Saccharomyces cerevisiae S288C: one gene and its partners. Changing the gene in region 1 together with any one later gene gives a genetic interaction. Each region holds a gene or a part of one and is shown on either strand. Other genes may lie near its edges.

Region 1 (8,309 bases):
AATATATTAGCAATATAACACGCTGTTTCTCATCCTCTAAATCAATTTTCGCGGCCTTAATCCATAGTTCATATAAGTCTGTCGATAAAATCGGTTGGGGAAGCTCTCTGATAAATTTCTTCAAAAGAGCAGATAATTGGATTGCATTTTCTTTCGAGAAGTCTGGAGCTTCTGTTGGATTACTGTCGATGTTAGCAGTTAGTTCTCTCAGTCTTCTGATATTTCCATTTTTCCTGAAAATACCTTCTACTGACATATCCATTTGCCTCAAAGATGATATTAGCTCGTCAATAATTATGGGGATCCTAATCTTCACTGGCCCCACACCTAAATCGGAATCAACACCCCATTTCTCGCACAACACATCTAAAGGAGCACCAAAAACAGTCTTAGTGATGGGCTTTTTAGGCTCCATGCTCATCATGATTTTCATTCTGTTCCAAAAGCTACCTGTGACTTGCTTTTCATTCGAGAAGACCATTGAGACTAAGCTAGTATAGTTAGGATCAGTCTTCGATATCAGTTGTTTACCAGCTAGCAGTGACAAACTGATAGCCCTTATCATCGAGAGTTCCATCGTACTTAATTCAGAGTAATAAACTCCGCTTTTCTTGGGAACAACATTCGAAGTTTCGTCATCGGTTTCTTTTAGTTTTTTAAAGTGTGCAAAAGCGTTAGGTCTTAGCTCCCTTGCTTGTTCAGCGGCAACAATACGTGAAATATCATCTAGTGTCAACGTCTTAGTATTACTGAAAACATTTTCACGTGTGCTCACTTGTTGGCTCGATGATGGGTCATCTGTTTGAATCACAAGATTTTTACTATCTCCTTGTTTTGTCGGGTCATTTAAATCTGTCTCTGCAGTTTCCAGTATCACTGATTTTCTAGCTTGTTGTTTGTTATGAGTGACCCGAACACTTTCTCTTCTAGATCTCAATCTTTTAATATCATTCAGTGTCCTAATGTAAGTTTGTTCCTTTAGCATAGTACTCTGTAAAGAGTTTCTGCCTACCTTGTTAGATGCTTTCGATTTCAACATTACAGTTCTTGATTTGACTAGGGCAATTTTTAGAAGAAAAATTAGTTGTGCTAGCTTAGTAACAAATTTGAAACCCGGCACAGAGGCCGGATCATCAATTGAGCAGTGAGAACATAGTATCTTTTTTTTCTCTTTATTAAAGGTGGGATCCGTCAAACTCCTCGGATTTATATTCTTATGGCATGAAGAACAAGTAAAACAAGCAATATGCCACCGGTGCTCATAAAATTGAATGCATTCCTCCTGTATGTATTTATTGCATCCAGCGCAACTATCTGTGGCGTTAACAGGAGTCTTTATATACTGAAACGGGTTATTTTCAAAAAGCTCATTTTTCTCTACTTCTCTTAAAAACCTCAACAATGGATTAACAGAATGAGTCAACTTATTGTTTTCTAGAGCCGTATATAGCCCAAATCTTGTTAACAGTTTTAGAAAATGGGCTAATCCAGTAATAACAGACATAAAAGATGAAATTGTGATAGTTTCGTTTTTGTTTTCTGTCCCTAACTTTCTTAAGAGTTGTAAATATATCATAATTTTTGTGGACAGATTTTTGGGAAACTTGCTGTATTTACTGGCCGCCATTGCGTTGTTTTCAATGCATTCTTGATCACTGTTAACTGGCATACTTTTGTTCGTCGAGAGGTTTAAAGTATCCAGTCCCCGGAAAAGACAGTCGATTTTTAGTACCAACAGACCCGTAGACTCTATGCCCTTTAACTGATCATTGCTTGTCAAATATTGAAACATATCAGAAATGCAAGAAGCTGCCTCTTCCTCAAAACGATATAAAACCGACCACGTTTTAGATAGAATAAAGTTAAACGCCTGCATTTGTTTATCTAACTCGTAGGCAGTTGGGTTTATATCTTTGTCTCCGGAATTTGGGTTATATTCCAGCTTGGGAAGGTACTGCAAACCAACAGTTTCTGCTGCTAAATTTACATGCCAATATTTATGAATTCCATAACATTCCGGATGCCAACAATGTATTTCTTCACCTTTAGGAAACTCGATATATTGATCCGATATTGGGAACTCGCACCCTTTGCAACGTTTCGAAAAATACTTGAGAAAGTGGTACTTGCAATACAATTGGTTTCCGTACATGAAGCATTTTTTAACCCCACAAGGAGTAGCACATATTGTACAAGAAAAATGCTCTTCGTCGTATCTGTAACCGAATGCGGTATAATATAATCCACGCAATGGGGTATCACATACATGACATAACAAATTATGTCTTCTAAAATAATCGTATTGGCATAACAATATAGATTCACTTGTCTTGTCTACTTGATATGGGAAGTACTTCGGTTTTAAAGGTTTCTGACAGTCTTGGCAGGTAAAACAACTTTCATGATAATATTTACCGAGAGCCTTTAAAGTTGTTTTAGTTCGTTGGCTATCGGGTATAACTAACTTGTTACAACGGGCGCATATTTTCTTCTGATTCTTCACCTGCACGGTCATCGGAGATGCAGTATTCAGCGATCGATAACCAGCAGAATTTTGAATCATTGCTCACCTCCGGTACTTGTTGTTTGATAATTTGTCTGCTCTTTTTTTCTTTGGATTTGAATAAATACGGTTGCGTATATCTGGGATAAAGGCCAAATAACAATGTTAAGGCAAAGACGGATACTGTTTTGAATGAGAAGCCCAATTGCTGGTTTCTAGCAAGAACAGCCTTGGTTGGCTCGAGAGGAATGATTTACATATTTTAAATTCTCAAATGACGTTTCAGATTCTGTTCTTATTTGTTTTCCATTTTGTTTACATCTTCCGTGCCCATCAATACCCGGCATACTTTGAAGACGAAAAAGATACTTACATAAAGATAAGGATATACTCGCCAAGATCGATTTCTTGAAGTAAATACTTTGTGGGGAGGTGTTGTAGCGATGGGCTAACCTGCAAGCATTAAGTTATATTTACTAGTGAGGTACGTTGTAGAAAAGTGCGTTACAACGAGAAGTAATTCAAACGTAAGTAGCACATGCGGGCTTCTTGATATATTTGCTAGCTCAAAAAGCTAACTGAGTACAACATGGGGGCCACCCATGTTGATTATGTTCTGGTCGTAAAGTGATCTTTTACGGGTTATATTGTTTGCCCATAATTTCAGTTTTGAGGTGCCTATCGCTTCTTCTCGTTTTGTTTTGGGAACGTTTGAGTATTTACTTTATAGTGCACTTTTTTGCGTTTTCATCTCTTGACTGTTCGAAAACCAATGTTGGTGAAGGAAATAGCTAAGTATGACCTCGCCTTAAACCAATCTTAGTATCCTGTCTCTTTGCCACAGCTATTTCCTACTTCCATTAAGATCAATTTCTTTGCTATTGGAATCACAGGCGACTTAGAATGCATTTTCTATACTAGTAATTCGCAATTTTCTTGTTTTCCACAACGGTTTAATACTAAGCAGATGATATGACAATATGGCAAACATGATATACAGAAGAGAGCTTAATGGGACCAACTAAAGTTAGATGACACCATGGTCCAATTTTCTGAGCATGAACAACGGCAGAACAATAGCTGAACTGGACCGATTTGATTTTTGAACAGGAAATCTGTAATTTTTTATGCTTTGTTTTATGTAGCGATTTTATGATTATTGTTAATTATACATCTCACAAAAGCCAAGAAGAAATCTGAAAAAGTGAGCCCACACGTAGACTATTTGACGCTCATGAAAGTTGTCAAGCCTTGTGTTAGCGTTAACGTACTTCATTTAAAACATGGCCGCTTCGTGAGAAGTGGAAGCATAGTATCGATATTTTCTATAATCTAAATTATTTTAGTGCCCATAATGCAGTATACTGTATCGTATAGGAGTTCTGACTTGCTAATGTAACACAGTAGACTTCACCTTCACTTATGGATACCATTGGCTTATTAAGACATCAGAGTTCATTAAATGAATAGTAACAATCCTTGCGCAAAAAAAGGCGTCGATGACGCACTTTTGCGTTCAAGTTTTATATACTTGGAAAGCTATGACTGATGAGACGGACCTGTTTCGCATAGAAATTCGGTGCTTAACATGTAATTGCACCTTTGTTTTTGAGAAATCCATGAATTTCGCGGTAAAGGCTCGATTAATGATTATTCTATATATATGTACTATAAGCCGATTATCGCAGTTTTTCCAGCCTCCTTAGTAAATTACCCACTGTTTTAAGATGAGTCCTACTGACGGGTTACATTTTTATAGTCTTTCTTCTCAGGCGACCCAAAGTTCTGTCTGACTGTCTCGTATTATATGTAGAAACGATAAAAAATTATATGGTGGCTACTGCGACCACCAATCCAAAGTGTCATACCTTGAGAATTAGACAATTGTATACAACACTAGCATGAACAGTATGGTAAATTTGGCGAGAGAATGAGAAGGCCTTGTATTATGTATTCCCGCATTGGTTTCTGTACCTTTCCCTTGCAGAAAACCACATGCATAAAAGTCGCTTGCCACATAACTCGCATTTGTGAAGCCATGCGAACCACACGTAAACGTTTCAGGACTTTCAGCAGGCTGCCCAGTGAGAAATGTATCATAAAAAATTGAATAAGTTGGGTTCTTTTCTTTAGCAGTTTTCTTTCCTTCAGCTACCCCACAATTATAAATTTCTGTCGGCGTATAGGTTTGATTAATATAGCCCTTGCTACCGCACTTAAACAATAGAGCATTTTCAGTTACGTTCATTTTTTTGTGTCTCTATTATAGATTTTTCTTGGGTGTGATGCAAAAATCGCTGATAGGAATTATAATAAAGGAATATATATATATATATATATATATATATATATATATAGGTACTAATTGGCTTTTCTTATACGCCTCCTATTGATTCACTGCCGAAAGTGCCCTGTTATATACGACAATCATACGCCTGTTTGCAAATAGTCAACATATTCAACTCGGAAGGTAAAAGATGAAAAGGCAATTTTTTTGATTTTCTAAGAAAATGCGCAGCGGGCAGAAGGGTCTTCGCAGGCAACTGAGTAAAGAATATGAGAAAAGCCTCTAAATGTTGAACCCTGAAAAAGTTTCATCTATTTTTGATAAAGACTTTTCAATAGTGCAGGATCACGCAAGAAAAAAAAAGGTCCTTAAGAGCAATTGTGGGAAAATATAATACAATGCTTGCGTTAAAACTTCTAGTTACCTTTTACAACCGAAAGTAAACACTAGCATGGGCTTGGAGACGAGCAGCGCAAATTATATAGTTTGAGATAGAACGCTTTCTCCGGTATTGCCTGGGGAAAAGGAGTCACATGATTAGAATCGGCGAAATTTTTTTTCCAAAATTAACAGCAGGGTTGTCTGGATGTTTTATTGAAAATAGAAGCCAATGACAAACACAAGAGGCCAGTAGTATATTAATTTTAATGTGCATTCTAAAGCATCCTCACGTCTTTCAATCTGAAGTTACTGTTCGAGAAGGAGAAGAAAAGAAGGAAAAATGAAGGATATGAATAATAACATGAGTACTAGTTACGTCCAATCTGGTCACACCATATATTGATGCATCTTATGCGCCATAACTTCTTTTTTTGTAGCTATAATTTGTTGCCAGAAAAATGAAAACTTTTCAAAATCAACCAGTTTCCAATTTTTCTGCAACTCGTTATTTATGAAGATAGATGATGATTGACCCCCTTTCTCCAAAAATCGATGCAGCATTGGGTTATTTTTTGAGCTTTCTAATTATAGGGCCATTTTCTAGCAAGACTGTATAGCACATGCTCGCAAAGAACATGGCGTAATGTTCATAAGAAACAAATTTTGTAAGTTTCTTGTGCCTTTTGAGTTTGAAATCATTGACCAGAACAATGAGAACTCTAAACACGACAAATGGATCTTAAATCAATTTTCTTGAAAACATCTTCCAGTTTCGATATTCGCACATTTGCCGGTAAAATAGTGCAATCTGCCTATACCTTTAAAATGGGATCTTGAACGCGTACCTGAAGGTTTTTTTAAATAAGGCCGAACCTAAATGTTGCCTTCAAAATTAACCTGTATCAAATTTTGAAGCCGAAGTTGGTATCCTCACATTGTCTAACCTCATGGTCTCCTAAAGTCCGGCGATCACTTTCCGTTGCGTGACTATTGATGATCAGACTGTCAACAATGTCGTTCCGGGCCTCCATAGCTTGAAGAATTTTCGTTGACGGAACTAGAGGAATGGCAGATGGAGATGACCTTAGTTTCATGTCGCCTTGATAGTTATCAAAGAGTACAGAAACAAGACGTCTCTTGCTCAATAATAAGGATTGGATCAGGTGCTTACAAATTTTATTCGTCATACAAACAATTACTAATATTTTTTTAATATTAAGCGTACCCCTATTTGATTGGCTCTCTTCTAAATTCATACGTTTTAAAATCCGCTTTCAACCGTCAACATAAAATTAGTAAGCAGACCTCGTTCCAAGACCCAACTAAGTTGCACTAAATATCCTCGAACAAATTGGGGGCAGATTTTTGAACCATATAAAAGTCATGACAATATTTCCAGATCAAGGACAGTTGCAGTTCTTCCTTTCATCGGCCAGCTGACGAATTGACTGAGCGGCTTTGTATTTCACTAGAATACACTTCCTATAGCTACAAAATATTATTCAATAATATTAGTGAATTATTTAAACCTCTACCTGAACCACCTACCGAGTTGGGACGTCTCAGGGTTCTTTCTAAAACTGCCGGCATAAGAGTTTCACCGCTAATTCTGGGAGGAGCTTCAATCGGCGATGCATGGTCAGGCTTTATGGGCTCTATGAATAAGGAACAGGCTTTTGAACTTCTTGATGCTTTTTATGAAGCAGGAGGTAATTGCATTGATACTGCAAACAGTTACCAAAATGAAGAGTCAGAGATTTGGATAGGTGAATGGATGAAATCAAGAAAGTTGCGTGACCAAATTGTAATTGCCACCAAGTTTACCGGAGATTATAAGAAGTATGAAGTAGGTGGCGGTAAAAGTGCCAACTATTGTGGTAATCACAAGCATAGTTTACATGTGAGTGTGAGGGATTCTCTCCGCAAATTGCAAACTGATTGGATTGATATACTTTACGTTCACTGGTGGGATTATATGAGTTCAATCGAAGAAGTTATGGATAGTTTGCATATTTTAGTTCAGCAGGGCAAAGTCCTCTATTTGGGTGTGTCTGATACACCTGCTTGGGTTGTTTCTGCGGCAAACTACTACGCCACATCTCATGGGAAAACTCCTTTTAGTATCTATCAAGGTAAATGGAATGTGTTGAACAGGGACTTTGAGCGCGATATCATTCCAATGGCCAGACATTTTGGTATGGCTCTAGCCCCATGGGATGTTATGGGAGGTGGAAGATTTCAGAGTAAAAAAGCAATGGAGGAACGGAAGAAGAATGGAGAGGGTCTGCGTACTGTTTCGGGTACTTCTAAACAGACGGATAAAGAGGTTAAGATCAGTGAAGCATTGGCCAAGGTTGCTGAGGAACATGGCACTGAGTCTGTTACTGCTATTGCTATTGCCTATGTTCGCTCTAAGGCGAAAAATGTTTTCCCATTGGTTGGTGGAAGGAAAATTGAACACCTCAAACAGAACATTGAGGCTTTAAGTATCAAACTGACACCAGAACAGATAGAATACTTAGAAAGTATTATTCCTTTTGATGTTGGTTTTCCTACTAATTTTATCGGTGATGATCCGGCTGTTACCAAGAAGGCTTCACTTCTCACGGCAATGTCTGCGCAGATTTCCTTCGATTAATCAGATTTCTTTTTTGGTGCGTTTGTGTAAGAAATATGTCCTTATATATTCCACGCTATCTACTTTTATACTTTTGAATAAGCCGCACCTAAAAACAGTCTTTATCCCTCACCTAATTCAGGCGTAAATTGTGCAGGTTACAGCATTTGAAGTGGTAAATCGAGGCAACACAAGACTTTCGATACTTGGAGGCAAGTACGATAATTACAAGGGAAAAGAAGCTGTAATAAAAGGCTCATAAATAATATCTTAATAGTAAATATCTAAATATCAGGGAGGAAAAAAAACCTAATGGGAAATCATAAACAAGTCGTAGAGGAAGGCTACGCTCGAGGAGTGACGAAGTGCGTTTAAGCTGGAAGAGCCAATCTCTTGAAAGTACCTTCCTGTCTGCATTTTTCTTGATGAATAGCCATCAATCTTTGGGCTTCCAAAGGATCAGAAACCTCTTCTGGTTCTGGCCAGGACAGGTATTCATTAGTGTAGTTCGAGACATAGTC
Region 2 (9,431 bases), on another chromosome or scaffold:
TACAGAATTACAAAGCAAAGGGCTTTTTAAGGAAAAATATGTTCAACTTTCTTCTCGAGATAGCATTAATGAAAAGAACGCTAATAGATTAAAAGCTCCCAGAAAAAATGACTCTCAGAAAATCGAACCTGTCACCGAGAACATAAATTTTGATGCAAATTTTGTCAATGATGGCCAGCTAATAGAAGAGGAAGAAAAATCAAACGGTGCCATAAGCCCCGATGTTTATAAATGGTACCTGAAATTTTTTGGAGGCTTCAAAGCTTTAACAGCCCTGTTCGCTCTTTATATCACAGCTCAAATTTTGTTCATCAGTCAGTCTTGGTGGATACGACATTGGGTCAACGATACCAATGTACGAATAAATGCTCCAGGTTTTGCGATGGACACGCTGCCATTAAAAGGGATGACCGACTCTTCGAAAAATAAACATAATGCATTTTATTACTTAACCGTATATTTTCTTATTGGTATCATTCAGGCAATGCTAGGTGGTTTTAAAACAATGATGACGTTTTTATCCGGTATGCGAGCCTCCAGAAAGATCTTTAATAATCTGCTAGATCTAGTTCTACATGCCCAAATACGATTTTTCGACGTGACGCCGGTTGGTAGAATCATGAATCGCTTTTCAAAGGACATCGAAGGTGTTGATCAAGAATTGATTCCATACTTAGAAGTAACTATATTTTGCCTAATTCAATGCGCATCAATTATATTTCTCATTACCGTAATAACTCCTCGCTTTTTGACAGTCGCCGTTATCGTTTTTGTTTTATATTTCTTTGTGGGGAAATGGTACTTAACGGCAAGTAGAGAATTGAAAAGGTTAGATTCAATAACCAAATCACCCATTTTTCAACATTTCTCAGAGACCTTGGTAGGCGTTTGCACAATTCGTGCATTTGGCGACGAGAGGAGATTCATTTTAGAAAATATGAACAAAATTGACCAAAATAACAGAGCATTCTTTTATTTATCAGTTACTGTCAAATGGTTTTCTTTTAGAGTCGACATGATTGGCGCATTCATTGTTTTAGCATCAGGTTCTTTTATTCTGCTCAATATTGCAAATATTGACTCGGGTCTTGCCGGCATTTCTTTGACATATGCCATTTTGTTTACAGATGGTGCTTTATGGTTAGTTAGACTGTACTCAACATTTGAAATGAACATGAACTCTGTTGAAAGACTAAAAGAATATTCTAGCATTGAACAAGAGAACTATCTTGGCCATGATGAAGGCCGCATTCTACTTCTAAACGAACCATCGTGGCCAAAAGATGGAGAAATTGAAATTGAAAACTTATCTTTACGTTACGCGCCAAATTTGCCTCCTGTCATAAGAAATGTTAGTTTCAAAGTGGATCCTCAAAGTAAGATTGGGATTGTCGGAAGAACTGGCGCAGGCAAATCTACCATAATAACGGCATTATTCAGATTACTAGAACCAATAACCGGATGTATCAAAATAGATGGGCAGGATATAAGTAAAATTGATCTCGTTACATTACGTCGTTCCATTACTATCATCCCTCAGGACCCTATTCTATTTGCAGGTACAATCAAAAGTAATGTTGATCCATATGATGAATATGATGAAAAAAAAATATTCAAAGCACTTTCACAAGTAAATCTAATTTCTTCACATGAATTTGAAGAAGTGCTTAACTCGGAGGAACGCTTTAACAGCACTCATAATAAATTTTTAAATCTTCACACAGAAATAGCTGAGGGCGGCTTAAATCTGTCCCAAGGTGAAAGGCAATTGCTTTTTATTGCACGATCATTGTTACGCGAGCCAAAGATAATACTTTTGGACGAGGCTACTTCCTCTATTGATTACGATTCTGACCATTTAATTCAGGGTATTATAAGAAGTGAGTTTAATAAAAGCACAATTCTTACTATTGCACATCGTTTGAGATCTGTTATCGATTACGACAGGATAATTGTGATGGATGCCGGTGAGGTAAAAGAATATGATCGCCCTAGTGAACTGTTGAAAGATGAACGCGGTATATTTTATAGTATGTGTCGTGACAGTGGGGGCCTAGAGCTTTTGAAGCAAATAGCCAAGCAATCAAGTAAGATGATGAAATAATCGAATGTTTCTTTCTTTTATTCAAAGATGAGGATGAATATTATTTATTAAAAATGCAATAGTAGTCTATAAAATATTTATGTAGAAAAGGAAAAACTAACACAGACATGGCTTTTTCACCCATTCTGTGACAATGAGCCCATCATGCAAATAAGTGATTTTGGGTAAAAGTTTATAATGGAAGAATTTAGGTAGTAAAACGAATTTAACTAACCAGAAAAAGAAGCATGCAACTATTACCAGTAATGACATGATTTGGTAGGGCGGCAGGAACCCAACTCTGTTTAGGCTAGGGTCGGCAAAGAATGGTGCCATCAACATGTATAATGATAATGTAATAATGGCTAATACTCCAAAAGTAGATGCACGAATCTCTGGGACTTCGTTCTTGTGTTTGAACCTCCAAATAAAGAGCCCAATAGCGACCAATAATAAGAAAAACTGATTACCATAACCATCCATCGATACCAGATAATTGAAGGATTCGCCCTCTTTGGGTAAAATCAATATCCAAGCAATGGTTATAAAGCCACATAAAGAAATAGATGGTAGAGGTGCATCAAATGGCCAATTTTTGGACATATGAATACTGAATGGTAAATAACCTTCTTTGAATATTTCCTGGTTAACTCTTGATATACTGTAAATGACAACCAGAATATTAGATGCTGCAGAAATGGCGATAGAAAAAGCAATGAATTTGCCACCAACTCTGGGTCCGAAAAGTTTGGTAAACAACACGGAACCAACCAGGGGGCCTGCACTAACAATTTCCTCATATGTCAAAACTTTCAAGTATGCCACATTCATCATTGTGTAGCAGACAAAACAAATTATCAACGATAAGGGACCTGACACCTTCAACGTCTTAACGGGATTCTTAATTTCTGATGTAACTGTGTGAACTGTATCCCATCCAGAAAAACAAAAGAATGAGCTGATAAAGGCAGTAGCAATAGAGGACACCGACAGGAGAGAATCTTTCTCAACTTGGGTTACTGGGAGGTCCCAGGCAACTTGACCGGTGCTTTTATAAAAGAAAAGCGTGTATAGCCCGGCAAAGCACATCAAGACAATCATGATCAACTTCAAACCACCAAGTGCGTTCTGTATAAACACTCCGTGCCTTACAGAGACACCGTGAATGAGAACGGCAAATATTATAAATGATATGCTGACGTACTTGGACCACGAATCATCCGTGACTCCAAATGCGCTCAACACGTATTTACCGAAGACGATAGATCCCGTCAATGCATAGCCAGTTAAAACACTGTAACACGAAAACACCACACTAATTAATAGTCTGGGTCTTTCAAAACTCCGTTCGAGGAAGTTTTTACGTCCACCTGATTTCGGTATCCAGGAACCAAATTCTAGAAAAAGATACAATCCTGCAAAAGCGATCGCAGCGCTAAAAACCCAGATCGCAAAATATATCAGCTTATTACCACCTGTATTCAGTAAAATCACACTGGGTACTGCAAATATACCTGACCCCATTATCCTCGAAACAAATAACACAACCGTGGAGAACACACCTAAATGTCTTCCCTGTGGAACTTCCATGAATCTTGCCGTCTCTGCCTTTATCGCCTGCGCTTCCACAGTATCCATCGAACTGAATGATCCAGTATTTGTGGAACCATATTTTGTGGTAATATCACCAACTTCCACATCTATGAAAACATCTTGAGAGGGATTTGCTTTCCCACTATTAAAAAGCAGCGGTTCCATTTTTACTTATTTTGAGCACTGTACGTCTACGTTGCCCTCAGCAACTTAGACTACAAACAGAATGTACAGATCATCGATAAGCATCCAGGTCTTTATATGTGTATTGTTTTTGCCCCTTGACTCAGGCAGGCCTCTAATCTATATGATTGATTTGTCATATATATGCAGCGACGCCACAGTTTTTTCCGGCAAGAGTCGCGTGATCTTTTTTTCTAATCCAATCTGTGAACATACTAGAGGAAACTTCTACCTTTTCTACCTGAATTACATTATCAACACTTTTGCACCAAAAAATCGTGGTACTAGGAGATGCAAACCTTTTGGTCTCCACATCAATTGCAGGAAAAAGATTGACTGTTTGCATGTGCAATTATCTTATATATTATGTAAAAATAAAAGTAGGAAACGCCACATGGATGCGCATGCCATAACCCTTGCATGGTTAGCACACGCCCTCACGTGAGTGAATTTGCCAAAATGATAGTCAAATGTGTTGATAGTTCGATAAGAGGTGAAGTTGGGGAACTAAAGGTGGAATAGAAAATGATAAAACAAAGGAAAGAGTGAAGATTGCCGCCGAGTAGAATCCAAGATTGGTGTGTATGGGTGTATTTAGTGAAAGTTCAATTGCATTGAAGATGACAAATTATGCTTAAGTGAATGGACAATGAAGGCTTCTCTTGAAGGAGTAAGGCTGCGCTGAAGGAAAGGTTTGAGACAGAGTGACCAAAATGGTGAATTGGCAAACATTGTTCATGGTCTCATTGAGGAGACAGGGCAGTTCCTCTCGTTACAGGTATAAGTTCAACATGGAGAATATCACACATCAGGTGTTCCCTCGCTGTAAGCAAGCGTTTAAGAAGACAAACTTATCTTATGAATATTGTGATCTTGAAGGAGTACTGTATAATATTTCACTCACGGACTTGCAAAAACTGCTATTACGTGATATAAACGCCCCTCGCGAACACGCATTCAAGATTGTTAGAACAGATCTAACTCAAAAATCCTCGAAGAAGAGGATCCAACACTGGGAACGGATTGCGCCTATGTTTGACCACCCCTTAAGTCTCTACGAGAAGTTGTTCAGCGAAATGGATGAGGACTTCAAGCCATCTTTCGAGTGGCAACAATTAATAAGGGTACGATGCAAAGATGATAAGTTGAAACTGCAGCGTGTAATTTGGCCTAAGTCGATATTTTCAAACTTTTGTCGGGGAATCGGGGTTAAGAAGAGCACTTACGATAGACTCTTGGAACAAAATAATGGTGAGGTACCCATGTTTGTAAACCCAGCTAATGCAAAGCCCTTGCCTCTTTTCCAGGTTTCCGATGAGGCGATGATTGGGGAATTCGATGGAATTGGTATTTTCCCTTACTTTGTAGATAAACATAGAGAATTTTTCGTTACTGAGGTAGACAAATTGAAGACCAAGATAGCTTCGCCACTTTGCACCTTGAATGAACGAAAGCGCATTGAGAAGGCTAACGCTGGTCGGATACTGGCGAACGAAGAGGGTAAACCATTCTATCTGGATGCAAACAGTGCCACAACTCGAATCGCTGGTGGTAATGTCGTCACTTTGAAGCAACTTTTAGAAAGATCGGTTAGCCATAAGACATTGTGGAGCAAACAATCAAACAAAGACAGAACGTGCCCTGGAGACATTTTAAGAGCTACAATATTATCAAACGACTTCTCCATCCGGCAATTGAGGGCTGAATTTTGCAAAAATTTCATTCTCTACAATATATTCACCATTTTACAACGTAACAAGAAAAGCATCCGTTCCTTCTCTGGTAACGATAATGCGCCTTCCTTTCAATTTAGTTGGAATGTTTGGGACTCATATATATGGAAGCAATATCAAGAGACCGAGTCCATGAAAATACCCACGGACCAAGCTTCTCTGATCAACTACAAGACAAAATACGACTCTTTTCTTCATGACCTACAAACATATTCCGCACTGGTAATTTCAGAAATGAAATGGAACCAATTCTCTATTTTCCAAAATGATGAAACGACTTTATCAAGATTTGAACACATCACATTAATTTTGCAAACCGTGCTGACAAAATCGAAAATGATTAGAATTTTCCAGCCAAACTTGTACAAGTTTATGCAAGATGATTTAAGACCAACTTTAATGGAGTTGGTGGGTTTCACTGAGTCAATAAATGCAACAATAGAACCTGGTTTTGCGAATGAACAATCGCTACAATCTGCAAACGGATTAAAGAAATTGGCCAACCAACTTTTATACTTCGAACAGGAAATATATGGCGAAAAGTTCCGCGTAAATAGGCCCATCCAGCTTCGTCCAATAACATTATCAGCAAACTACAAAATTGTTATTCTGGATAAGAAGAACGCCATACCCGAAATATTTCAAACCCTACTGAAATTCATGACACAAATAACGACATATTTTGTTAAAGATTTGTCGGAGGTAGAACTTCATGGGCACATGCATTGTATTGATAAAAAAATGCTGGACAAGTCGAAATTCATGTATTTATACGAAGAGAAAAGCAACGAGGAAGTGAAAGCAGCTTCTCCTCAAAAGGAGAAGATAGTAGATAATATCATTGGCCTATTATCAAATGATGAAGAACATTAACATGAATTGGAAAAAGAAAAAATTGCATGTAAATATATACATACGTAGAATTTTATACTTAGGCTACAGATCAAAGCTAAATCTGTAAGTCGTATGCCTTCTTCATTAGAAATATAGGCTCTTTATTTGATTTCCTGATCCAAACCAATCTATCAATCGCAGTATCTGCCACAATGAACTGTCTTATGCCCCAATCACCGACACTATAAATTTCTGGAATTCTCTCCGATAAATTAGGGAAGTATTTTTTATAGAACGGCAAAAACTCCATAACATCTTCTTTTTCAATGACAATTGAATCACTAACTTCTTTGAAGGTTTGTTTAATGAAACCTCCCTGATTATTACTTTTATCGTTGATTAATTTGACTATCCAGAGCAACAATGCGTCATTAAGACAGTCTTTTGTGATCAAATCTTCGTAATTTATAGCACCAAATACCAGTAAGAGAGAATTGGCAAATATTTTGTCGTTTTTAAAAATTGTCTTGAATGACAGAGAAAACTCCTTATTATTGCTATATATTTTTTTTTGTAAAACGGACAATTTCTCAGTAGTGGCGTTCAGAATTTTTTTGTTATCTTGATAGTATAGTTTGATTAGTTTAATAACATGAGGGCGTAATTTTTGAGTCGAAGAAGTTTTAATTTTAAAATTCTTATAAAACAGCAATCTCTGGGATACTACAGATGTTAATTGATCAATACCTTCCAATACGCTCCTTACGGTTGGAGTTTCTTCAGACTTTAATTTACTTAGGTAGGCAAATAACGCTAGTAGAACCGGTGGTAATGGTTCAGAAATTTTTAAACTAAATTGTAAAATGGTAGTTTCTCCATCGTCAGTAACAAAATTACCTGATTTGTTAAAATCCACGGGCAAACCGCTAACTAAGGTGGATGGTAGCTTTAAAGTCAACCTAGAGAAGTCAAACTTATTCGAGGAATCCCAAAACCCGTAGTTTAACAAACATTTTTCATTAGAAATATTACCATAATTATTAAACAATTCATCCTGTGCACTAAATGTGGTAGTCTGCGACATGAAACAAAGTTCATTTTGTTCATTCATCTCCCATCTTACTGGTACATCGTTTTTATGGTTTAATAAATCTACTATTGGATACAAAAATCCTTCGTTCAGATTGGTGCGGTCTGTACCGGCCCTGCCTAAAATGACACGAGGAAATGCCCTAGAATTAAAGATGCAGTACGACCAAAGATACGCCACGAACGAGTTCCATTCCGAATCTTCTAGTTTACATCCATTGATGTGTGCGCAGAACTGTTCCAACGGCACTACGGCAGAGTCTTTATTCTCCTGGAATAAAGACAAGAACTGCTTATCTTGAGAAGAGTGTTCAATAGATAAAGCTTGGAACAGCATCCTCCACTCCTTTACTAGTTTGTTCAGCGTATCTCTCATAGTTAAGTACACGTCTGTACCATGCAAATTCATGACTTCATCAGTAGACCAAAAATATGGTTGTGGAAGGTGCAAGGGTAGCACATCTAAATATGGTTTGTAAAAGGATTTCAGGTGAACTGCATCGGTGCCAAATTTCAACTTTGACAAGTACAACTGTGTCACGGAATTCAAAAGACTCCTTTCATTAGCAGCCTGGGAAAATTCTGATAAAGCTTGCTGGGAAGTGATCAGCAGAGTTTCGGGTACCCTAATCAAAGCTTGGTCGGGTTTGGGAGAGAATTTTTCGTTTACAAATGCACTAACACCAGCATCCTCTGTAATCCTAAAAGAGATTTTCGGATCGATGAAGGCTCCATTATTTTGAGCCCATTGTAAGCAGTTATCTAGCTCAGTTTGGGTGATCATGCAGAAGTTCGTTAATTAAATGACGAGGTAGCTTCACCAAGCTTGATTCCTTAGTCTTTTTTACTTCCATCATTTCTTCTTTGTTGGAATGGTCAAGTTCAAGTTGAAAAATTTTCTTTTTCATAGTCAACTCATCGCAGGCACATTCGCCTTGAACGAACAACGAGCAGGACTCCAATAGAATAATAGTAATAGATTACAGGCCTATACAATCAAGACAACTATCAAGGTGGGGAGGGTTTCCACCTGTAACTTCCGCTGACTAATGATACATATTATCTGATCGGAAGCCAATGAAAGATCCCCTAAATATCACGCATGTAAGCGACCGCGATGAAGCGTACTGGCAGCTCTATCACGAAGCGATGGAAAAATACACCTGCGAATGAAAATCCATCAACAGAAATGAGAAGACAATTGTATATTATCATTAACGTTCATCTTTAGGACTTGTTCTCTTACGAAATTTGTGTGCCTGTATTTGTTAGAAAGCCACATATGTCTTGGCCTTTTTCACTTCTTTCCTGTTTGGGATTGCAAATTTATCAAAATGCACCCATAAAAGCAGGTGTGATATAACAAGCACATATCGTTAGGAAAATAGTGTCAAAGAGAAAAAAAGGCCAAGCAAATCGGAGTACAGTTTACATGAAGTAATGCAAGATGCATAGAACTGAAGATTTCAGGAATAATTGTATATAGGGGAGGAAACATTCGATAGCTCTCTTTTTGCTTTCGTTCACTATATCTCTTGTTTTCTTTCTTAAAAATATATGGACAGTAGTTCAAGCCACTGCATAGCAACGTACTAATGGAGTCTGTTCACTCTCGCGATCCTGTTAAGGAGGAAAAGAAACATGTCTTCATGGGAATGGAACACGAGTTGAATCCTGAGACTCATAACGATTCCAACTCCGACTCATATGGTCTCCCTCAGTTATCTGAAAAATACAATGCCTTGAGACAGAACAGGAGCCTAATTATCCAGCAGACTGAAATCATTGGCTCTGCTTACAATAAATGGTACTTACAAGCGATTTTACTTTTGAGTGCTTTCATATGTGGCTACGGTTATGGACTGGACGGTAACATCCGTTATATTTACACTGGTTACGCCACATCATCCTATAGT
Region 3 (8,972 bases), on another chromosome or scaffold:
TCTCTATCCTCCGCCTTGAGCGCTGAAACAACAACGAACCTTTTGATACCAGCCTTTTCGCATGCTTCAACAACTTTGATACAGCCATCCAGATCAACCGTGAAAATTCTTTCCATTCCTTTACCACCCGCACCGGCGCTAAAGACCACGGCATCATAAGCCTTAATAGCGTCTGTGATCTCACTAACGGACGCGTTTTCTATATCTGTCAAACTAGCATCAACACCTACTTCATTCTTGAAATAATTGACTTGATCCTGTGTTCTAACAATCGCTAATGGTGTTGAGAAACTATCGTTGGCCTTCAATTGGTTTATCAATAAACGTCCAACTTTACCACTGGCACCGACAACCGCAACTTTCATAGGAGACATGGCTGTTAAGTCAATAATATATGAATACCGATGATATAACTTCAATGAATTTTTATTTGGAGGGAAAGTATCCTATTATGAGCGTCACGATGGGACTTTAAATATATATCCCTACTTCGAGTGTACCCTTACGTAATACTTGCAGCCCCTTGCTGTTGACAGCGCGATACAATTTTCGTACTAAACAATCACAGAGGTAACAGCAAAGTTTGGAAAGTACTTTTGTTGGAAAGTTATTACGGCCACTAACATTGTCTCGTCGTATTATTAAAAGCTATAACGTCGTATTTCTTTGCTCGCTTGTGTTTTGTGATACAGGAAACACACACCAACAGGTTCACCGAGGGCTGTTGTCTGTCTTTGTACTTTAACTCAAAGAACTTCTGTTTCACGATTTGTATTAATAGTTCTTGCAGGCTACTAGGCTGAATACGTTAAAATGGTTAGCAACGAATATAACCAGAAATACTTCGGGTACAATTCTGATACGTATATTTGTAGATATGTCTCGCTTGATGTTGCCAACTTTGTCAAAAATGGTAACGTATGGGCACACGGAATGTGCTAATCCTCGACTTTGCTCTTTCGTAAACCAATTTGATGCAAGTGCAGCGTGGTCTTTTGAAAGTGCATTATCTCATTGGGCGATGCGAAAACTCTGCCTACAGAAGTTCGCCGTTAGATAATTCTGATTGTAGAAAACCTACCAAAGAGAATAAACTAAAGTGTCATCTGCTAATTTATGATCTTATCGTCTGAGTGATGATGTATGTTTCTCTTTGTACGGTTCGTCTTGTGCTCATGTACGTAACATCCTCCATATGTGTGAATTATTTTGTCCGGCGTCTTGTTTGAATATCCCATCCGGACGTATTTCTTTATAGGATAACGCATGCACATATCGGTTCGTTCAATAAGAAAGTCCCTTCTGGTATTATTCGGTGTCCTGTAAGATCTATATACTAATCACCAAGCTATCTGGTGTCACATTGTGAATACATTTGTCTTTTGGTCCATTTTTCCCCATCATTTTCTCGTGAAAACGATCTCTAACTTTTGCCACTATAGTTTTAAAGGAAAGATTTTGAGCTGCCAACGAATACAATATAGCACACTCAAGAGTCTTGGCAAGCAACTTTAAAGTTAGAAAGAGTACTAATGTTGCTACTTTCTTGGTCAAGAATTGCTACTAAGGTAGTTAGAAGGCCCGTTCGCTTCCGGTCCTATTACGGCTTGACCCATATCAAGAGTTTACATACTCAATATCGGCTACTCAATAGGCTGCAAGAGAATAAGAGCGGTAACAAGAACGAGGACAATAACGAAGACGCTAAACTTAACAAAGAAATTCCCACAGACGAAGAGGTTGAAGCAATAAGAAAACAAGTAGAAAAATATATCGAACAAACTAAAAATAATACTATACCGGCTAACTGGAAAGAACAGAAACGCAAAATTGATGAAAGTATTAGGCGTTTAGAAGATGCTGTATTGAAACAAGAATCTAACAGAATTCAAGAAGAAAGAAAGGAAAAAGAGGAGGAAAATGGTCCTTCAAAAGCCAAGTCAAACAGAACAAAAGAGCAGGGCTACTTTGAAGGTAACAATAGCAGAAATATTCCACCGCCACCACCACCTCCTCCCCCAAAACCACCTCTAAATGATCCTAGTAATCCTGTATCGAAAAATGTTAACTTATTCCAGATAGGACTAACTTTTTTCCTCCTTTCGTTTTTATTGGATCTCCTCAACAGTTTGGAAGAGCAAAGTGAGATAACGTGGCAGGATTTTAGAGAGAAACTATTGGCAAAAGGTTATGTTGCGAAGTTGATTGTTGTCAACAAGTCCATGGTGAAAGTGATGTTAAATGACAACGGAAAAAACCAAGCCGACAATTACGGTCGCAACTTCTATTATTTCACAATTGGTTCAATTGATAGCTTCGAACACAAACTTCAGAAAGCACAGGACGAACTGGACATTGATAAGGATTTCAGAATACCTGTACTATATGTTCAAGAAGGCAATTGGGCTAAAGCTATGTTCCAAATTTTGCCAACTGTTTTAATGATTGCAGGTATTATTTGGTTGACAAGAAGATCGGCACAAGCAGCGGGCGGTAGCCGTGGAGGCATATTTGGTCTGAGTCGTTCTAAGGCTAAAAAATTTAACACTGAAACAGACGTTAAGATCAAGTTCAAGGACGTTGCCGGATGCGATGAGGCTAAGGAAGAAATTATGGAGTTTGTTAGCTTCTTGAAAGAACCTTCTCGTTATGAAAAAATGGGAGCTAAAATTCCTAGAGGTGCGATTCTATCTGGTCCACCAGGTACCGGTAAAACTTTGCTTGCAAAGGCAACAGCAGGTGAAGCCGGTGTTCCGTTTTATTTTGTTTCTGGTTCAGAATTTGTAGAAATGTTTGTTGGTGTTGGTGCAGCAAGAGTAAGAGATTTGTTCAAAACTGCAAGAGAAAATGCACCCTCAATTGTGTTTATTGACGAAATTGATGCTATAGGAAAAGCAAGACAAAAGGGTAATTTTTCAGGTGCCAATGATGAGAGAGAGAACACGCTAAATCAAATGTTAGTAGAAATGGATGGTTTCACTCCAGCTGACCACGTTGTTGTTTTAGCTGGTACCAATAGACCCGATATTCTCGATAAAGCATTATTAAGGCCTGGTAGATTTGACAGGCATATCAATATCGACAAGCCCGAACTTGAGGGTAGAAAAGCCATTTTTGCTGTTCATTTACATCATTTGAAACTTGCCGGGGAAATTTTTGATTTGAAAAATAGATTAGCGGCTTTGACGCCAGGCTTTTCTGGTGCTGATATTGCCAACGTTTGTAACGAGGCCGCCTTGATTGCTGCTAGAAGTGATGAAGATGCAGTAAAATTGAATCATTTTGAACAAGCTATCGAAAGAGTCATCGGTGGAGTGGAACGCAAATCCAAGCTACTCTCTCCCGAAGAGAAGAAAGTAGTGGCTTACCACGAGGCTGGTCATGCTGTATGTGGATGGTACTTAAAATACGCAGATCCTCTTCTGAAAGTCAGTATTATTCCACGTGGCCAGGGCGCCCTTGGTTATGCACAGTATTTGCCAGGTGATATCTTCTTACTAACTGAACAGCAACTTAAGGACAGAATGACCATGTCTCTGGGTGGAAGAGTTTCTGAAGAATTACATTTCCCATCAGTTACAAGTGGCGCATCTGATGACTTCAAAAAAGTTACTAGCATGGCCACGGCAATGGTCACAGAATTAGGCATGAGTGATAAAATTGGCTGGGTCAATTACCAGAAGAGAGATGATAGCGATTTGACAAAACCATTTTCGGACGAGACAGGTGACATTATTGATTCCGAAGTATACAGAATCGTCCAAGAATGCCATGACAGATGTACAAAGCTGCTTAAAGAAAAAGCAGAAGATGTAGAGAAGATTGCTCAAGTACTACTGAAAAAAGAAGTTTTGACAAGAGAAGATATGATTGATTTACTTGGTAAGCGCCCTTTCCCAGAAAGGAATGATGCTTTTGATAAGTACTTGAACGATTACGAAACGGAAAAAATCAGGAAGGAAGAAGAAAAAAACGAAAAACGTAATGAGCCTAAGCCATCTACAAACTGATTGATATTTCACAATACAAAGAAATGGAGGAAGACTGTTCTACATATCTTGCTTATTTTATTGAAAGCCAGACATCTTTCTTTTTCGGTAGAACACTGTCACGTATTTACCATATAATCTAATCTGAAAACATGTAAATATATATACGTGTATAAATGCACCTATATCTATATATGATCAAAGCGCTTCTGTGAGGCTGTCATTGGTTAATACACGCGATCTTTTTTTTATCGCTGATTCCACGGCTTAGCCTATCTTATCTTCAGTATTCGCATGATACACTTTTTCACTGCGTCGTTTTGTTGGATGATATCTGTCCGACAATAAACGTAGGTCATCTTAAGGGCCGGTGATAGAGAAGAGCATGCGGTTCCACTTTAGGCCAACCCACATTCCCAAAATATAAGAATACAGCAGCGATTTTTTTCTATCGAATTATTTTGTTTTTTGTCTCCTCTTTGTTCTTCACTAAGCTCAGAGCCCTAGTTGTTGAGGGAACAAGAAGAATGCAAACACTAGACGAGACTTCAAATCTACTCCCTCCACCTGAGGAAGCTGAAGCCCCTCCCTTGGAACAAAAATTTCATGAATATAATTTGGCCTTACCTAAGTTTCCCATTTTGTTTTCGCTATGGTTGGGTAGTTTTTTGAGTTCCTTGGATAGCACTATTGTCGCAAATATAATGAATAGAGTTGCTGAGGAATTCTCTGAATCAAGTAAAAAGCAATGGATTGCGACGAGTTTTCTTTTGACAAATACGGCTTTCCAACCACTATATGGGAAGCTTTCTGATATAACAGGGCGGAAGTCAGCATTATTAACCGCTCAATTTTTTTTTGGCCTTGGGTGCTTATTAACATGTTTTGCCAGAAACGTCACGGAATTCTCAATAGCAAGAGCCATATGTGGTATTGGTGCAGGAGGATTGAATGCTATTAGTAGCATTGCTGTTAGTGACATATGTACAGCAAGAGAAAGGGGCGTTTACCAGGGATATGCGAATATTGTTTTCGGGTTTGGTCAATTACTAGGTGCTCCGTTGGGTGGTGTATTTATAGAAACCATTGGATGGAGGGCTCTTTTTGGTATCCAAGTACCCGTGATAATGTTGTGCTCGGTATTAGCAATCAAAAACATTAATATTAAGCTATTCCATGTTCCTCCTATGAAAGAAAGATATACCTTAAAGAATCTGTCACGGATAGATATATTTGGCTCATTAAGCCTGGTGGCGACCATTAGTGGAGTTTTATTTTTGTGCTCTAGCCAGTTGAACAAGTTGTATTTAGCATTGTTTACCATTGGTAGCTTTATTGTTTTTATCCTGGTTGAACGTTATTACGCGACTGAGAAAATTTTACCATTCGAACTATTGACTCGCTCATTCTGTTTGAGCTCAGCGGTAACGGTTATATCTTCATTTGTTGTATTTGGTGAAATCTTTAGGTCACCAATCTATTTACAATTGCTTCAAAATATTAGTGTAACAAAGACTGGCCTCTTTTTGATTTTCCCCTCTATATCAGTTGCAGTCGGATCATTGGTAACAGGATGGGTATTGCGGAATACGAAAATTAACCTAGCACACTGTGCATATCAAATCATTTTTGGTGGTATGATAATGCAGCTATTGGGTTTGGGATTGGGCTATTTCCTACTTTCACACTTGAATCCTGACTACACCATATATGATATGCTTGAGTCTATTACATTCAGATCTAACTCAATATGGTGGAAATTGATATATGTGTTTGCATCAGTCCTTGTGTCCTTTGGTTACGCTTGTCTATTAGTGGCCACGTTAGTAAGCATCGTATTCACCGTCGAAAAATCACAGCAAGGAACCATGACTGGTGTTTTCTATTTGTGGAGATCCATTGGTAACGTTCTTGGTGCCTCTTTAACTTTAGTGTCCTATGAGAATAGCCTGTCGTCCATGTTATGGAATTATATGTTCAAAACCAAGCGTGATGACGAATATCACTTCACCAAAAAGCAGTACTACTCCCTTATCAATGATTCGAGTTACTTGAGAGGGCCCAATTTTCCAACGGATATATTTGTTCGCATTCTTGATGTCTACAAAAAGGCATTCCTGATTTCCTATATTCCAAATATAGCCCTGGCAGCAGTGGGAATTGTTTTATCGTTATATCTGGTGAAACATACTTACAAACGTAGTTCAAGTTCTTGAAAAATTGAAAATAGACTTTATATTATATACCTTTATAAATCCAAGGTCAAAATCCTTCTAGGAATGAGCAATTCTATTGCATCTTTTTCTACATTAAAGGATTTCAGCATTTCGATATCTATTCCTAGTTTTTGGCACTCTATTTTGCAACTTTCCGGGAAAAAAGGTTCAAACGGATATTGCAAATAATACATGATCAGCACATTTTTCAATTCTTTGCTTATGTGATCTCCCGCCATATATAGTCTTAACGCAAAGGCCATACTCTTGCAACTGATAATGGGTGGTACACCTGCATACCCAGTACATAATCCAGGAATAATAAGACCATCAATGTCTTTTGGAGAATGCATCAAGGCATTCCACATGGCGTTGAAAACCGGTTCAAACCCTGTCTTGAGGGGATTCTGCGGATTAAATATAGGAGCTGATGGGGCTACAACGGTCGGAACATGAATAATATACCTAATACCATCTCTACATTCAATTGTTTTCTCTTCAAGACATCGCTGTAGGTCAACCACTGTAGCAGATCCGACCGTGTGATATCTTCCTCCAAGCTGATTCCTGAACCATGTTTCAAAGGGCTTTCCCCCGAAATAATTATACAAAGCTTTATCGAACCCTCCTCCAAGATAGCCATACGAGTTACCAGGTGAAACAATTGCGTAAGAGTGGCCATGATGGATTGCATCACCTTTACGCATTGAATCCATAAGAGATTGAAGGTGCCCATGATGAATACAAAGATACTTATCATTTTGAATATATGCATGGGGTATAGATTCCTGCCAGAGATTGGTAACTACTTCGTTTGTATCGCATAATATTATTCTCATTTTTTTTACCCCGTTCAAAAGTGAGTGTCTGTTTAAAGATCCTGTCATGATTATGAATGTCTGCAGTTTTCCCAATTTTCCCAGTTCAAAATTACGAAGATGGCTTGGTGGTTTAAGATGTATTATGGACCATTATACATAGGGGATTCAATTCGTAAAGTTTAACCGTTAATAAGAAACACCCACACCTGAAGTTTTTACGAAAATCAAATGCTTCTCTTCTGTTATTGTTTGCTGCTAGGAACACGTATAGGAACACGAATAGGAACACGAATATTTATTGTTCATCCGATTATATCGCCATTGATTGCAGTGGAAACGGCAAAAAAAAAAAAGCATATAAAATGGAGATTTCTTGATTATTCATTATTAAAAAATCCTTTATATGTTACAGTGCATGGAAGCCATCGTTCAGAAGTTGAACGAGCACGAAAAAGAATAAAATACATAACTTGTACAAGGAGAGAATTTCTGCCGAGAGTCCCTATTTCTTTCTACCAAAGATTTTTTTCAGTTTTTTGCCGAAACTACCCTTCTTTTCTTTTGTAACGCTGACTTCCTGTGCTTGTGGGAGCCTGCTTTCGCCGTTCTCTGGATTACTAGAGAAGCGTAACCTATTGGTCATCGAAGGGTTTGAATTTTTTGCAGGTTCAGCTTCACTGGCAGCTCTTAAAGATAACCCGCTGAATTTCTTGTCCACCTTTTTACTTGTAATGGCAGGATCGGTGGTAGTATGATTAGGACTTGAGACTCCAGGGGAAACCACATTATTTTCCTTTTGCTTACTTTTGCTCTTGAAAAGCGAAAAAGCACCGTTACCACCATTACTATTTTTGTTACCGCTGGTTTTATTGCCTTCTGTTTCTGTGTTGTATTTTGATGGGCCTTGGTTGAAAAATTGGGACTCATCTTCTGAGTCTGAATCCGCAAATCTTGATGAATGACCCAAATATTTGAAAAACTCCTGTGCTGTATCGGTTCGATTCACATTTGTGCTATTCTGGCTAGCTTGCCCATTATAGCTTTCACTCAATGCCTCCTCAAAATTACCATTTCTCAAAGAAAGCTTTTTAAATCCGAGATGGGATTCATTGCTTCTCGTCTTCTCAAAACTAGATTTGCGAGGAGGTGGTTCTTTGGGGTACAAAATACTATTCATGTCCTTCGTTGAAGGTTTATTGTTTTGCGCGATCTGTGATCCTCTCTTTATATTCTTATTGATTTGGTTTTTAGGTTTATTTGGGCCATTTGACTCATATACACTTGCGGGCTCTTGAATTTGCTGCGAATTTTTAGACAGAGAAGCCATAACCGAATTTCTTTTTGGTTTACCCTTCTCTGGGGTTCCTAGGGGTATAGCAGAATGGCGTTTATTGTTTATTTTCTCTGGGGGAGAAGGCGAATTTGATCTGATGCTTCTGAACTGGCCTACTGACTGAGGTCTTTTTATAGAAGATCGTTTTAAACTTGCTCTGCGTGATACGCTGTCGGACATCGTCATTTGAGCATTTAATCTCGTATTTTCAGCAGTCGTAAGAGACAGGTATGCGCCATTGGCGGGAGAGTTATCAGAGTACATGGATGAGTCATGGTTGGACGATCCTGACGATTTTTTAAGAGCAGATTTGATTGGTGTAACTACTTTCGTTACAGGAACCATAGGAGCTTCAGGCTTGTGAAACTTTTCTTGCTCAGCTTGTTTCGATTGGTTTTTTCGAGAAAGGTAGGTATTTGAGGTCCTTAAATACTGAGCCAAAGAAGGCGTTGGTTCTGTTTGATTAGAATGATCGGTGTTCTTGGAGGAATTCGACTTGCTCGTTTTCTGATCGCTTTCTTCTACTGTATCGAAGAATTCATCCTTAGTATCGCCAACATTCCCTTTTTTGGAAGAAGTATTAGCACCAGAAATTTTCTCACAACAATTGTCT
Region 4 (3,080 bases), on another chromosome or scaffold:
GTTACCAAACGTTAGCTCGTCTATCAAGCACGCCAAGGTTCAACGACACTACTTTTGTGTAAGATGTCGGACCAGGATAATACCCAGACTTCTTCAAGCAAGTTGGCACCTCACCATAATATTTTTATGGCAAACTTGGAAAGTTCCCCCACAAAAGATAGAAATACCTCCAGCCAAAATGCCTCATCTTCGAGAGTCATTGAATCACTGCATGACCAGATTGATATGCTGACAAAAACAAATCTACAATTGACTACGCAATCTCAAAATTTATTGAGTAAATTGGAATTAGCACAATCCAAAGAATCAAAACTACTGGAAAATTTAAATCTGCTGAAGAACGAGAACGAAAATCTCAACTCGATATTTGAAAGAAAGAACAAGAAGCTAAAAGAGCTAGAGAAAGATTATAGCGAATTGAGTAACCGTTACAATGAACAAAAGGAGAAAATGGATCAATTGAGTAAATTGGCGAAAAATTCTAGTGCCATTGAACAATCTTGCTCTGAAAAATTGCAAAATATGGAAGTTAACTATAATTCATTATTGGAGTCACAAAATCTTTACAGAGACCACTATTCTGATGAAATTTCCAAATTAAATGAAAAAATCGGTTTGTTGGAGTTAGAGTTAAGTAATCAAAATTTAAATTATGGTTCAGATACTAGTTCAAATTCAGATATAGAATTGAATTTAAATAAATTCAATGACTCTGTGAAAGATTTGAAATCTCTGGAAACAGAAAAGGATTCAAAATTAAGCAAGATAATCACTCACTCTTTAGATGAGTTAAATCTACAAAGCTGGCTAAATCTGTACCAGACGAACGAAAATCTGATATCAACTTTTGCTGAAAAGATGGATTTGAAAGACGTCTTGAAAAGAAACGATGAGAAGATTAGTAATAAAGGCGCGGTAGTACAAACCTTGAAGAAGAATGTACAAACCCAGGTGGAAAGCAACAACGCTGACGCTTTGAGTAGCAATAATGCACAGGATATGCTTCCTATTAAGATGGTCAAATTAAGAAAGACGCCGAACACAAACGATTCATCCTCCAATGGTAATAGCAGTAACAATAAAAGAAGAAGTTTCTATACTGCGTCGCCTTTGCTGTCATCGGGTTCTATTCCAAAATCTGCATCCCCGGTTTTGCCTGGTGTTAAAAGAACTGCCTCAGTAAGAAAACCAAGCTCGAGCAGTAGTAAAACAAATGTAACGCATAATAACGATCCAAGTACATCTCCCACAATCTCAGTGCCTCCCGGTGTTACAAGAACTGTTTCCTCCACTCATAAGAAAAAGGGAAATAGTATGGTTGTTCACGGGGCCCAATCCTAGAATATGCCGACACAAGGGAGTATATATATAGGATTCATTTAGATAATAGAACAAAAGTAAATAGATGCCTCTAAGGTTTTATAGACACGAATCCATATTTTTCACTTTCGGTCACTCACAACGGTTTTTTCTCTACTATAATGTGGCTGAAATTAAACGAACAGGCCAAAATGTGGTACGCAATAGTAGCCAGTAGGTGAATTAACCATAAATAATTACGCTAATTTTGCCTTGGTAAATTTCATAAGACCAATGATAGCAGGTGCGACTGCTCCGTCAAGTCAGCATGAAATTTTGATCGCATCGAATCTCATCAAGAAGCCATCAACGTCTCAAAATAAAACGCCGACAGCTCAATCCAGTTCAGGTAACAATGGAGCTGCTGATGGTGCACCGCAGGGTTACCATCATCACCATCATCACCATCGTCATTTATGGTGGCCTCGGACAACAGACCATCAATATTGGTGTGTCTTGAGGAAAAACCAATTTGCCTATTACAAAACTCGGGATGAAAGAGAGGCTATAAGTGTCATACCGAGATTTGACATACTTAATTTTAAGATAAGCGAGCTCGATGGTATATTAACTGTTTATACTCCATCCAAGGATTTAATATTCAAATTTCCACGAGGGCAAAATGAGAAGGTTGGTATGGAACTGATGCATAATTGGAAAATTGCCCTTGAAAAATTCCTCTCTAGTCCTAGTGGCAACGAAAGTGTCACTACAGGTAGTGATTATGATGAAGAAGAGGATGATGATGATTTAATTGTAGTTGACGAAAAGGCGGGTCCTTCTAGCAGCAAGCATTCTTGCAGTTTGACGATGGATGAGCAACTGTCTCGTGAAGATAAAGAATTTTATAGGATGTTCGATCCAAGAAATGCAGAGCACCAGGTTTGTTCTGGGATTCTTTACACAAAAGTGAAAAAGAAGAAACTGTTCAATAGGGCTAAATGGCAAAAGTTCAATGTGGAATTGACTAATACTTCGTTCAATTTATACTCTTTCAAGACTGGGAAGTTAAAGAAAAGCATTAAATTGGATAAAATTATCGATTGTATTGAACTTGATAATAATTCGAAGATGAAAAATGACGACACTAATTTTGCGCTAATTACATTTGATGAAAGGTTATCTTTTAAAGCCGCTAACGATCAAGATATGGTGGATTGGATAATAAATTTCAAGAGTGGAATTTTGATAAGAAAAAAATTAAAGGCCGAAAATATATAAGCAATGCCAATGATGAATATGTATTGACTTTTTTTTTCTTTGTACTATTAAATAATACGTGTAATTGTTTTCCTTACGTCTAGTTAAAAAACTATTTATTTATTTGTATTTTAATGATAATAAGCACTTTTTTCCTCGCTGAAAATTAAGGGAAAGGACCAAATACAAAAGTGATTAGAAGGATAACGAGTAGAGAAAAAGGGAAGTAAAAGTTAAAAACTAGAATCCTAGTATGACATGCATTGCCCAATTTGCCACCATAGAGCGCATGTAGTGTACTGTGCACATTGTATCAATACGAGCCCAAGTCTGCTACTGAAGCTAAAACTAGATTTAATTTTATTAAAGGATGAGAATAAAGAACTTAACGGGAAAGTCGAACAAATATTAAACGAGGCCATGAACTATGACCAGTTAGATATCAAGAGGATGGAGAAAAAGAAAGATCCCCTGATGAATAGTCTCATGAAGTTAGATGTTTTACGAATGAAAAAGAATAA

Evidence for each region.
Region 2: mutations in AAD4 (region 1) and CBP2 together harm fitness more than expected from each alone (negative genetic interaction), as found in Saccharomyces cerevisiae (one large-scale study listed by BioGRID).
Region 3: mutations in AAD4 (region 1) and VBA1 together harm fitness more than expected from each alone (negative genetic interaction), as found in Saccharomyces cerevisiae (one large-scale study listed by BioGRID).
Region 4: mutations in AAD4 (region 1) and OPY1 together harm fitness more than expected from each alone (negative genetic interaction), as found in Saccharomyces cerevisiae (one large-scale study listed by BioGRID).

The regions. Positions count from the first base shown.
Region 1 is NC_001136.10:17,077-25,385, reverse strand, and holds AAD4 (putative aryl-alcohol dehydrogenase), read left to right. Parts: upstream 1-6,819; coding exon 6,820-7,809; downstream 7,810-8,309. Other genes in the region: GTPase-activating protein LRG1, read right to left, coding at 1-2,563; YDL241W (uncharacterized protein), read right to left, coding at 4,380-4,751; YDL242W (uncharacterized protein), read right to left, coding at 6,074-6,427; THI13 (4-amino-5-hydroxymethyl-2-methylpyrimidine phosphate synthase), read right to left, coding at 8,160-8,309.
Region 2 is NC_001140.6:20,651-30,081, reverse strand, and holds CBP2 (Cbp2p), read left to right. Parts: upstream 1-4,572; coding exon 4,573-6,465; downstream 6,466-9,431. Other genes in the region: putative ATP-binding cassette multidrug transporter VMR1, read left to right, coding at 1-2,104; MUP3 (Mup3p), read right to left, coding at 2,201-3,841; YHL037C (uncharacterized protein), read left to right, coding at 3,903-4,304; EFM1 (protein-lysine N-methyltransferase), read right to left, coding at 6,542-8,299; ARN1 (siderophore transporter), read left to right, coding at 9,111-9,431. UniProt on the Saccharomyces cerevisiae protein: Appears to be specifically required for the splicing of the terminal intron (bI5) of the cytochrome b pre-mRNA. Can also stimulates the splicing of the omega intron of the precursor of large ribosomal RNA.
Region 3 is NC_001145.3:440,647-449,618, reverse strand, and holds VBA1 (Vba1p), read left to right. Parts: upstream 1-4,516; coding exon 4,517-6,205; downstream 6,206-8,972. Other genes in the region: YMR090W (uncharacterized protein), read right to left, coding at 1-374; m-AAA protease subunit YTA12, read left to right, coding at 1,533-4,010; PDL32 (putative ADP-ribose 1''-phosphate phosphatase), read right to left, coding at 6,238-7,092; SEG1 (Seg1p), read right to left, coding at 7,529-8,972. UniProt on the Saccharomyces cerevisiae protein: Transporter required for vacuolar uptake of at least histidine and lysine.
Region 4 is NC_001134.8:493,853-496,932, reverse strand, and holds OPY1 (Opy1p), read left to right. Parts: upstream 1-1,593; coding exon 1,594-2,580; downstream 2,581-3,080. Other genes in the region: SHE3 (She3p), read left to right, coding at 64-1,341; ATG14 (Atg14p), read left to right, coding at 2,818-3,080. UniProt on the Saccharomyces cerevisiae protein: Binds phosphatidylinositol 4,5-bisphosphate (PtdIns(4,5)P2/PIP2) at the cell membrane. Negatively regulates the activity of phosphatidylinositol 4-phosphate 5-kinase MSS4.